Linked DNA regions of Mus musculus. The protein of the gene in region 2 purifies or fractionates together with the protein of the main gene of each other region. This does not show direct contact. Links are inferred from orthologs where the notes say so. Each region holds a gene or a part of one and is shown on either strand. Other genes may lie near its edges.

Region 1 (3,500 bases), on a different chromosome or scaffold from region 2:
CCCTTGAGCAGCCAGGCTTTGCCACCTCGTACGTGCTCCAGGATGATGCCCACCTCTGCATCCCTACCAGCAAATGTGGAGGGAAGATAGGCCATAGTTGTTTCCTTAAGGCCACGATCTGGAAGTTGAAAATTGTCACTTTCAGTTCATATTTTGTAGACTTTTGTAGAACAAACTCCCACCTGCACATAGCATTGGAGACAGCTAGGAAATTAGAATGATTTGGGGTTGGTTACTAGAGAGGTGGAAGTAGGTATTGGGGATAGCAGCAGAGTCTGCCTCCCCCTCAGTAGACACCTGTCCTTGATGTCCCATTTAGACATTATCCACAAGTTCATCCGGGATAAATACTCAAAGAGATTCCCTGAGCTAGAATCCTTGGTGCCCAATGCTCTGGATTACATCCGCACAGTCAAGGTGAGTGGAGAGAAGTCTGGCTTGGGAAGAACTGGGGCCACTAGACCATGAAACCTCAAGTCTAGAAATAATGGAGAGTCATGAATGGGGCTCAGTGGTGAGGGACAGATACTGGAATGGATGTGTCATGCACATCTCTTGCTTCCTTCCTCCCCTTGGTTTCATGGGAGGATAACCACTGACCTGGCCCTTACCTCTGGCTGCAGTTGGAGCAGGTGTCCTTTGAGCTGGCAGAGGCCACCGCTGAATAAGAGCTAAGACCCTGCGTGGGAACAAGCAAGGATGAAGTCAGAAGGGGCAGGGAGGGAAGCTTGGAGAGGTCAGAAAGGGCAGAGAACATTAGATGTGGAAGGTGTTGGCTTCTCTACAAGGGATTGGAGCGAGTGGAAGTGAAAGAGCAGGGGTCCTGCCTCTGTCCAGGAGATCAGGATGGTGGCACAGGAATTGTGTCTGTGGAATAAAGTGCGCTTTTGACGGCCTCTTTAGTGCAGCATGTCTTCCTTGGAGGCTGCTTTGCCAGCTTGTACTTCTGCATCCGTAGAGCAGAGCAGGCACACTGATGCTTTAGGCAGGGAGGTTGTAAAAGTGTAAAAGGAAAGAGAGGCCTCCAGTGTATGGACCTTAGCTTTCCCAGCTTCCTCAAGGGGAGACCTCTGTTGGTGTTGTAGCAAAAGAGGGTCTTTTGGGCTTACTACAAATTCTCCCTCCCCTTCCTACCCCAGGAGCTGGGCAACAGCCTGGATAAGTGCAAGAACAATGAGAACCTCCAGCAGATCCTGACCAATGCTACTATCATGGTTGTTAGTGTCACTGCCTCTACTACCCAGGGGTATGTATGCCAAACGGTAATGTGCCGCAAGCCTACCATAGGACAATTAACAGGAGAGACAGAATGGAGGGCATGGTCAGAGTGGTGCTGACTGAGAATTATGGCCCCTAGACAGATGGAATTTTTATGATAGTCCCAGAACTAAACAAACACACATACATACACAGCTGAGACAGTAGATGGGGCTGACCACCAGTTAGAAATGTACCTAGTGGGGCTGGAGGGATGGCTCAGTGGGTAGGAGCACCGACTGCTCTTCTAAAGGTCCTGAGTTCAAATCCCAGCAACCACATGGTGGCTCACAACCATCTGTAAGGAGATCTGATGCCCTCTTCTGGAGTGTCTGAAGACAGCTACAGTGTATTTACATATAATAAATAAATACATCTTTTAAAAAAAAGAAAGAAATGTACCTAGCAAAGCTGGAGTCTGCCCACAACCCTCACGTGCTCCACAATGTAGGCAGCAGCTGTCGGATGAGGAGCTAGAGCGGCTAGAGGAGGCCTGTGACATGGCACTGGAGCTGAATGCCTCCAAACACCGCATCTATGAGTATGTGGAGTCCCGGATGTCCTTCATTGCACCCAACTTGTCCATCATCATTGGAGCATCCACAGCTGCCAAGATCATGGGTGAGGTCCCAGCGGGGTCCCTTTGGCAGAGTCTGCTGATAGGTTAGGTTGCCTTGGAAAGTGGGGTTTGGCCTATTGTGTTGTCCCCTGAAGTCAGAGGTCAGCCAGTTTGGCACATCCACACAATAGAAGCACAGCAACCCCCTTCTAGGTTGAGCTGGCTGGCTTAATTAGACCGCACAGATGGCCTCTTCCTGACAATAGGCCCATTTTAGACTCTGGAGCAACCACCGAGTACCGAAGTCAGCTCAGGCTTTCCTACTACTTGGGGCAGCAAATCCTCCCATATGCTATGCTCTTCTCCTGGAAGCTCCTGTAGCAGAGTCCCTTCCCTCATTGCAGAGAGGTGCTTGAAAAGGGAATATGGGGAAAATCACCATCTTTGCTTACTTAGCTTCAGTCTTGAGGCCCTCTGGCCAGGCTGTTTCAGAGCTGGCAAAGGCTGAGACCAAGGTGCTGTGAGACCTCTCCAGAGGCCTCTGCCTGGCTCAGACGTGTCTTCTGTGTCTTCATGGAGTTACACCACTTGTATCTGTGTCCTTATCTCCTTTCCTTACAAGCATTCCAGTCGGATAGAGTCAGGATCCATATGACCTTATTTTACCTCAGCCATCTTCTTAAAGATTCTGTGTCCTGTGCTAGAAAGATGGCTCAGCTAGTAAAAGAACTTGCTGCCCAGGGTTGGCAGCCTGAGTGTGGTGATTCCCCCAAACCCACATCCAAGTGGGAAGAGCTAAGTCCCAAAAGTGTCTTCTGGTCTCCATTCACACACCCTACTTATACACATAAAATAATAAAAATAAAATACCCCCCAAAAGATCCATATCCTCCTAGATGCAGTAGCTCATACTAGTAACGCCAGTATCTAGAAGGCTGAGGCAGGAGGATTACTTTGAGTTTGAGACCAGCCTTGGCTACAGAGTGAAATACTTGTTATCAAACCAGCCAACAAATGAAGGAGCAAAGACGTCGTAGTCACTGTTCTATTGCTGTGAAGAGACAACTGGGGCTTACTTTTAGAGGCTTAAGCCATTATCATCATGGGAGGAAACACAGCGGCAGGCAGGTATAGTGCTGGAGATGTAGATGATCCACAAGCAGACACACACACACACACACACATGTGGGACCTGGCATGGGCTTTTGAAACCTCAGAATTCACCCCCAGTGATACATGTCTTCCAACAAGGCCACGCCTCCTGATCAGTCTAGTCTATCCATGAGTTTCACCTCATGGTGACTTTATGCGCCTATGGGAGTCACTCTTACTCAAAGCACAAAGGTATACATGAGCTCCTGGATGGAAGTCCTGGGCTCTGACCTCACCTCTTGTTGCAGGTGTGGCTGGAGGGCTCACCAACCTCTCTAAGATGCCTGCCTGCAACATCATGCTGCTGGGAGCCCAGCGCAAGACCCTGTCTGGCTTCTCTTCTACCTCAGTGTTGCCTCATACTGGTTATATCTACCACAGTGACATTGTGCAGTCTCTGCCCCCAGTGAGTCCTTCACCTTGTCCCCTTCCCCCAGCCACCAGGCCTTATCTGGCTTGGCTGGCAATATTCCTCAGGCTCCTGGAGGATACCATTCTGGGGCCACCACTTGGCAATAATAGTTGGGTGGCT
Region 2 (3,956 bases):
CTCACTATTCAGTCAGCATGGGGAAGACAGACCCATGGGTTTCTGACCAGCAATTTCAACAGTCTTGTGTTGTATCTAGGGAAACAGAAAGCAGCTGAGGCAAACAGAGTCCCTATCAAAGGCCCCAAACGACAAATACCAGAGTGTTCCCCCTCTCCCAAAGACACCGAGCTTGAGGCTCCCTCAGGAGACTTGAGGACAAGGTTCCATGTGGACTGAACAGAAGTACCCTTGGGAAAGTGGACTCTCTGGTTACAGTCCCAGGTGGAAGCAGGGCAAGGCATGCTATGTTGGGGATGAGATCCTTGTCTGTAGTCATGAGAAAGGACCAGGTGTTAGAGCCTCAAGGTAGAGATCCCACTTTCCACGTTAGAGGAGCAGAGACAACACCCAGTAGAGATTCTCTGGCCAATCCTGTTCTCTCCAGGAGGTGGTTCTTGTATGGAGGAACAGATGGACGCATGGATACACCTCTAGGTCATGACCATCCCCCCAACACATTCCTATTTAATCTCATCTTCACATCTGAACCCTATTCCAAGAGCCTTTGGACTCTTACCGTGACGAAGACGACATTGTTGGGGAAGACAGATGTGTCCGCTCCATCCAAGGGCACTTGGGGTGCAGCGATGGGACCCCGGCTGGCTGTCAGTGAGGCTGGGAAGCAGCTCCTTTTTCGGACAGTGATAGTCCCTTCCTCCCCCTCTGTCCCTGGGTCCCCCTCAGAAGTCTGAGCTTGGAGACGAAGCTCCTCCGACAGGTAGTGTCGGATATTTTGGCGAGCAGAGTGGATAAGCCGTGGATCAATGTCCAGCCCCACCATGCGGGCTGGGCCCCACTTGCAGGCAATACTTAGGGTCAGATGGCCAACGTTGCAGCCCAGATCTAGGACGTCCCGGCCTTGAAACCACTCGGGCTTCAACACCCTAAGGCGCACGTCCTCACAGGAAGGATTGCGATAGCCATAGTACTTGCAGTAATTCCCATATTGGAACTTTAGCTGTTGCTTTTTGAAGCCAGTTGCAGGTAGTGGGTGGTGGTGGTGACGGCCTCCTCCACTCCCTCTGCCCTTTTCCTTGGAACCCTGGCTTCCACCCCTAGCCCCTGCCTCTGACTTGCTGGAAGTCCTGCGACGTTTGCGATGTCGGGAGGAGGAAGAAGTAGAGGGTGCAGAGGTAACTGAGGCAGCTGGAGGGGCAGAAAGGGAGCCTGAGGAACCCTGCAGGGCAGATGGAAGGGGAGACACAACTTCATCCCTGCAGTTGATGGCTGTGTTGAGTTCATAGGGTTGAGGGGCATCACGGTTCTGGCCTCTGTTTTGCTGCTGCTGCGTAGCACCCTCCCCATGGAGTGAGGGCGTGAGAGGGTCAGTGGGCAGCACGGCGGCGTTGCTATCATTCCCTCCAGACGCCTGCTGCTGCTGCTGGTGGTGCGGTCCCCGGTGTCTATGGCGCTTGCGACCAATCTTGAGTGGTGAGGCAAGCACTACATGGGCCTCGTCAGTGCAAGTGTTGAGACTGAGCGGGTCAGTAATATCTTTGGGGATGAGGATCTCCACAGGGTCTCGCCCCTTGGCCGGAAGTGGGGATGACTTTGGGGTCTCCGCATTGAGTGCGCGACTCACTTCCTCATCCAGGAGGCTATTCAGGTTCAGTGGATCAAATATGTTACCCCCCAGAAGGAAATTGGATGGTAACACAGAGTCGCAGTCTGAATTCACTCGCCGGCGCCTCTTGAAGGCCGGATGTTTGAAGCTTCCACCGCTCCCTCCCCCCACGTTACAGCTATTTCTTCTTTTGCCCCCACCACCCCCAGGGGGTCGGTGGGGCTGGTAGCCATTGCGAGGTCGAGGAGGGGCTGGGGGACCCAGGTCCGTCCCGCCCCCTCCCCGGCGCTCCTCCCCCACGTCCGCAGGAGCGGCGGCTCGCCCGTGGGGCTCCCCGTGCGCCTGTGCCTGGGGGCCGCCCCCTCCGCTGGCTGCGGCCCCGGCCGAGTGCGCGCGAGGGCCCGGCCCGTGTTCTGTCCCATCACGGAGCTCCCCGGAGGCAGCCTCTTGGTGCGATTGCACCTCGGGGCCGCCCCCTCCGCCCGACTCATCTTTGAGCGGCGGCGGCGGGGCCGGCACCAGAAAGGGCTCCTTCTCCGCCGCCATCTCGATCATCTCCTCTCCCTGTTTAATTTCCCCTTCTCAAGCGAGGGTACTGAGAAGAGAGCAAGGGGAAGCCCCCTGTAACCCTTCCTAAGACCACCTCACTCCCTCCTTCCCCGAGTGCGCGCGCAGCTCTGCCTCGCGCCTCCACCTCCCTCCCGCGACACACCAAGCGCGCTCCACTCGCCCGCGAGACCAAAACAAGATGCCCGCGAGACCCGGACAAGCCGAGGAACCAACTGCGCGTGCGCCGACTCCCTTTTCTCCGCCACTACCACTCTGCCGCGAGCGCGCACGACGGGCGCGCGTCCCGCTCGCCCAGGACCCACGCATGCGCGCTCCGCCACCACCCAGGCTGCGCGCGCATCGGGAGTGCGAACCAACTTAACGGCTCCGAGAGTTTAAATACAGCCCCCCTCCCTAATTACCTCACCCTCCCCCAGCCCGAGACGCCCACCGCCCCACACGGACACCCGACTTCCCTTCGCTGCTAAGTCCAAGCCCTACTGATATCCTTTGTCTCTGCCGTGCGATCCCACCCACCGTAGGCGGGGAACGGGAGCTGGTGTGAAAAGGTCTCCTTGACACCCGACCCTTGTTCCTGAGGAATGAGGCTCCGCCGTCTCCGCCCGGCTCTAAACCCAACAACCTCCCTGCCCCGCCTCCTTCCTCCCCCATCCCCGCCCCTCCTGGAGAGCGCCTGCGCACAGTCCTTTTGGACTTGCGCGGGTTGAAGGGGCAACACGTGCTGGAGATGATGTTCCGCCCCCTCCGCTCTAGGGGCGGGGAGTGTGACGTCGTTTCCTTAGGTTCATTACACGCAGCGTGCGTCAGCACGTTTCCAAGGGGCGTGCATTCCCAGCGAAAGAGGCGGGCTCATGAATTATTCATGAGCGATCGCTGGTCTTTTCCCCACCCCTTCCCCCCGCCCCCAGCCTATCTCATTAGAATTAGGACTTAGGAGAACCTGAGGAGAGGATGATAAAGTAGGCTAAGGAATCGAGACCATTGTCTCAAGAACTGTTATCAATAAAATGCAATATATTATTTAATATATTTTCTGAATTGAAAACAAACAAGTACTAAAACATCGAGATTGTCCAAACTCCTCTTCCCCTGAAATGGCCCAGTTGTTCAAGCGGCCCTCCTCCTTCCACCAGGGACAAACATCTAGAGAACTACGCCTTCCTCTCCTCCCTACACCTACGTCAGGCCTCGGACGCCGCTGCCATAGTGCAGCGCCTGCGTATCGGTCCCTCAGCGCCACCCGCTAGCGTTGCGGATTTTACAGCATTATCCCTGCAGCTAGACACACCGCGAATGTGGGCGGGAAAGGGTATCGACCTGTTTGGGCTCCTGTTTCGGCCAATGGGAAGCACTGATTCTATGCAGAATCCTCAGACTGATGGCTGGCGGAGTTTCCCAGTCCACAGACTATTTGTCAGGAAAGAGCACTGTAGAGGCAAGGGGGGAGCTCAAGATGGTTTCAAAATTTAAGAGGGTGACGACAACTAAAAGGTAGGGAGTGATAGCACGAAAACAGGAAAGAGAAAGCGATTTGAGGCAGAGATAAGAATGAAGTGCCTAGGGCGCTTCGCAGGATATTATGGGGGGGGGGGCGCGGAACTAAAGATGTCAGCGAGGATTATGGAACTTGTAGTTTCACTAGGCTTTCGTTCTTAAGATGGCGGGCTACTCCGGCTGCGCAGACGCAGAAGCAACTTCCAACTGCGCACGCGCAGCACCTGAGCGCACGCCGCTTGGGGGCGGAATTTGTCCGTGTCCTCGCGCCTTCTCCTGGTGGCGG

The links. The genes of interacting proteins can lie anywhere in the genome.
Region 1: the proteins of Mepce (region 2) and Prpf31 purify together in Homo sapiens (affinity purification with mass spectrometry; 3 studies listed by BioGRID and IntAct, counting the BioPlex papers as one, with this or other methods). This does not show direct contact. The link is inferred for Mus musculus from reciprocal best matches to the Homo sapiens genes MEPCE and PRPF31.

Annotation. Positions count from the first base shown.
Region 1 is NC_000073.6:3,632,985-3,636,484, forward strand, and holds part of Prpf31 (U4/U6 small nuclear ribonucleoprotein Prp31), read left to right. Parts: intron 1-53; exon of another isoform or gene 54-319; coding exon 320-417; exon of another isoform or gene 418-1,139; coding exon 1,140-1,246; exon of another isoform or gene 1,247-1,708; coding exon 1,709-1,878; exon of another isoform or gene 1,879-3,216; coding exon 3,217-3,374; exon of another isoform or gene 3,375-3,500. UniProt on the Homo sapiens protein: Involved in pre-mRNA splicing as component of the spliceosome. Required for the assembly of the U4/U5/U6 tri-snRNP complex, one of the building blocks of the spliceosome.
Region 2 is NC_000071.6:137,783,902-137,787,857, forward strand, and holds the start of Mepce (7SK snRNA methylphosphate capping enzyme), read right to left. Parts: upstream 2,801-3,956; 5' UTR 2,162-2,800; coding exon 560-2,161; intron 1-559. UniProt on the Homo sapiens protein: S-adenosyl-L-methionine-dependent methyltransferase that adds a methylphosphate cap at the 5'-end of 7SK snRNA (7SK RNA), leading to stabilize it.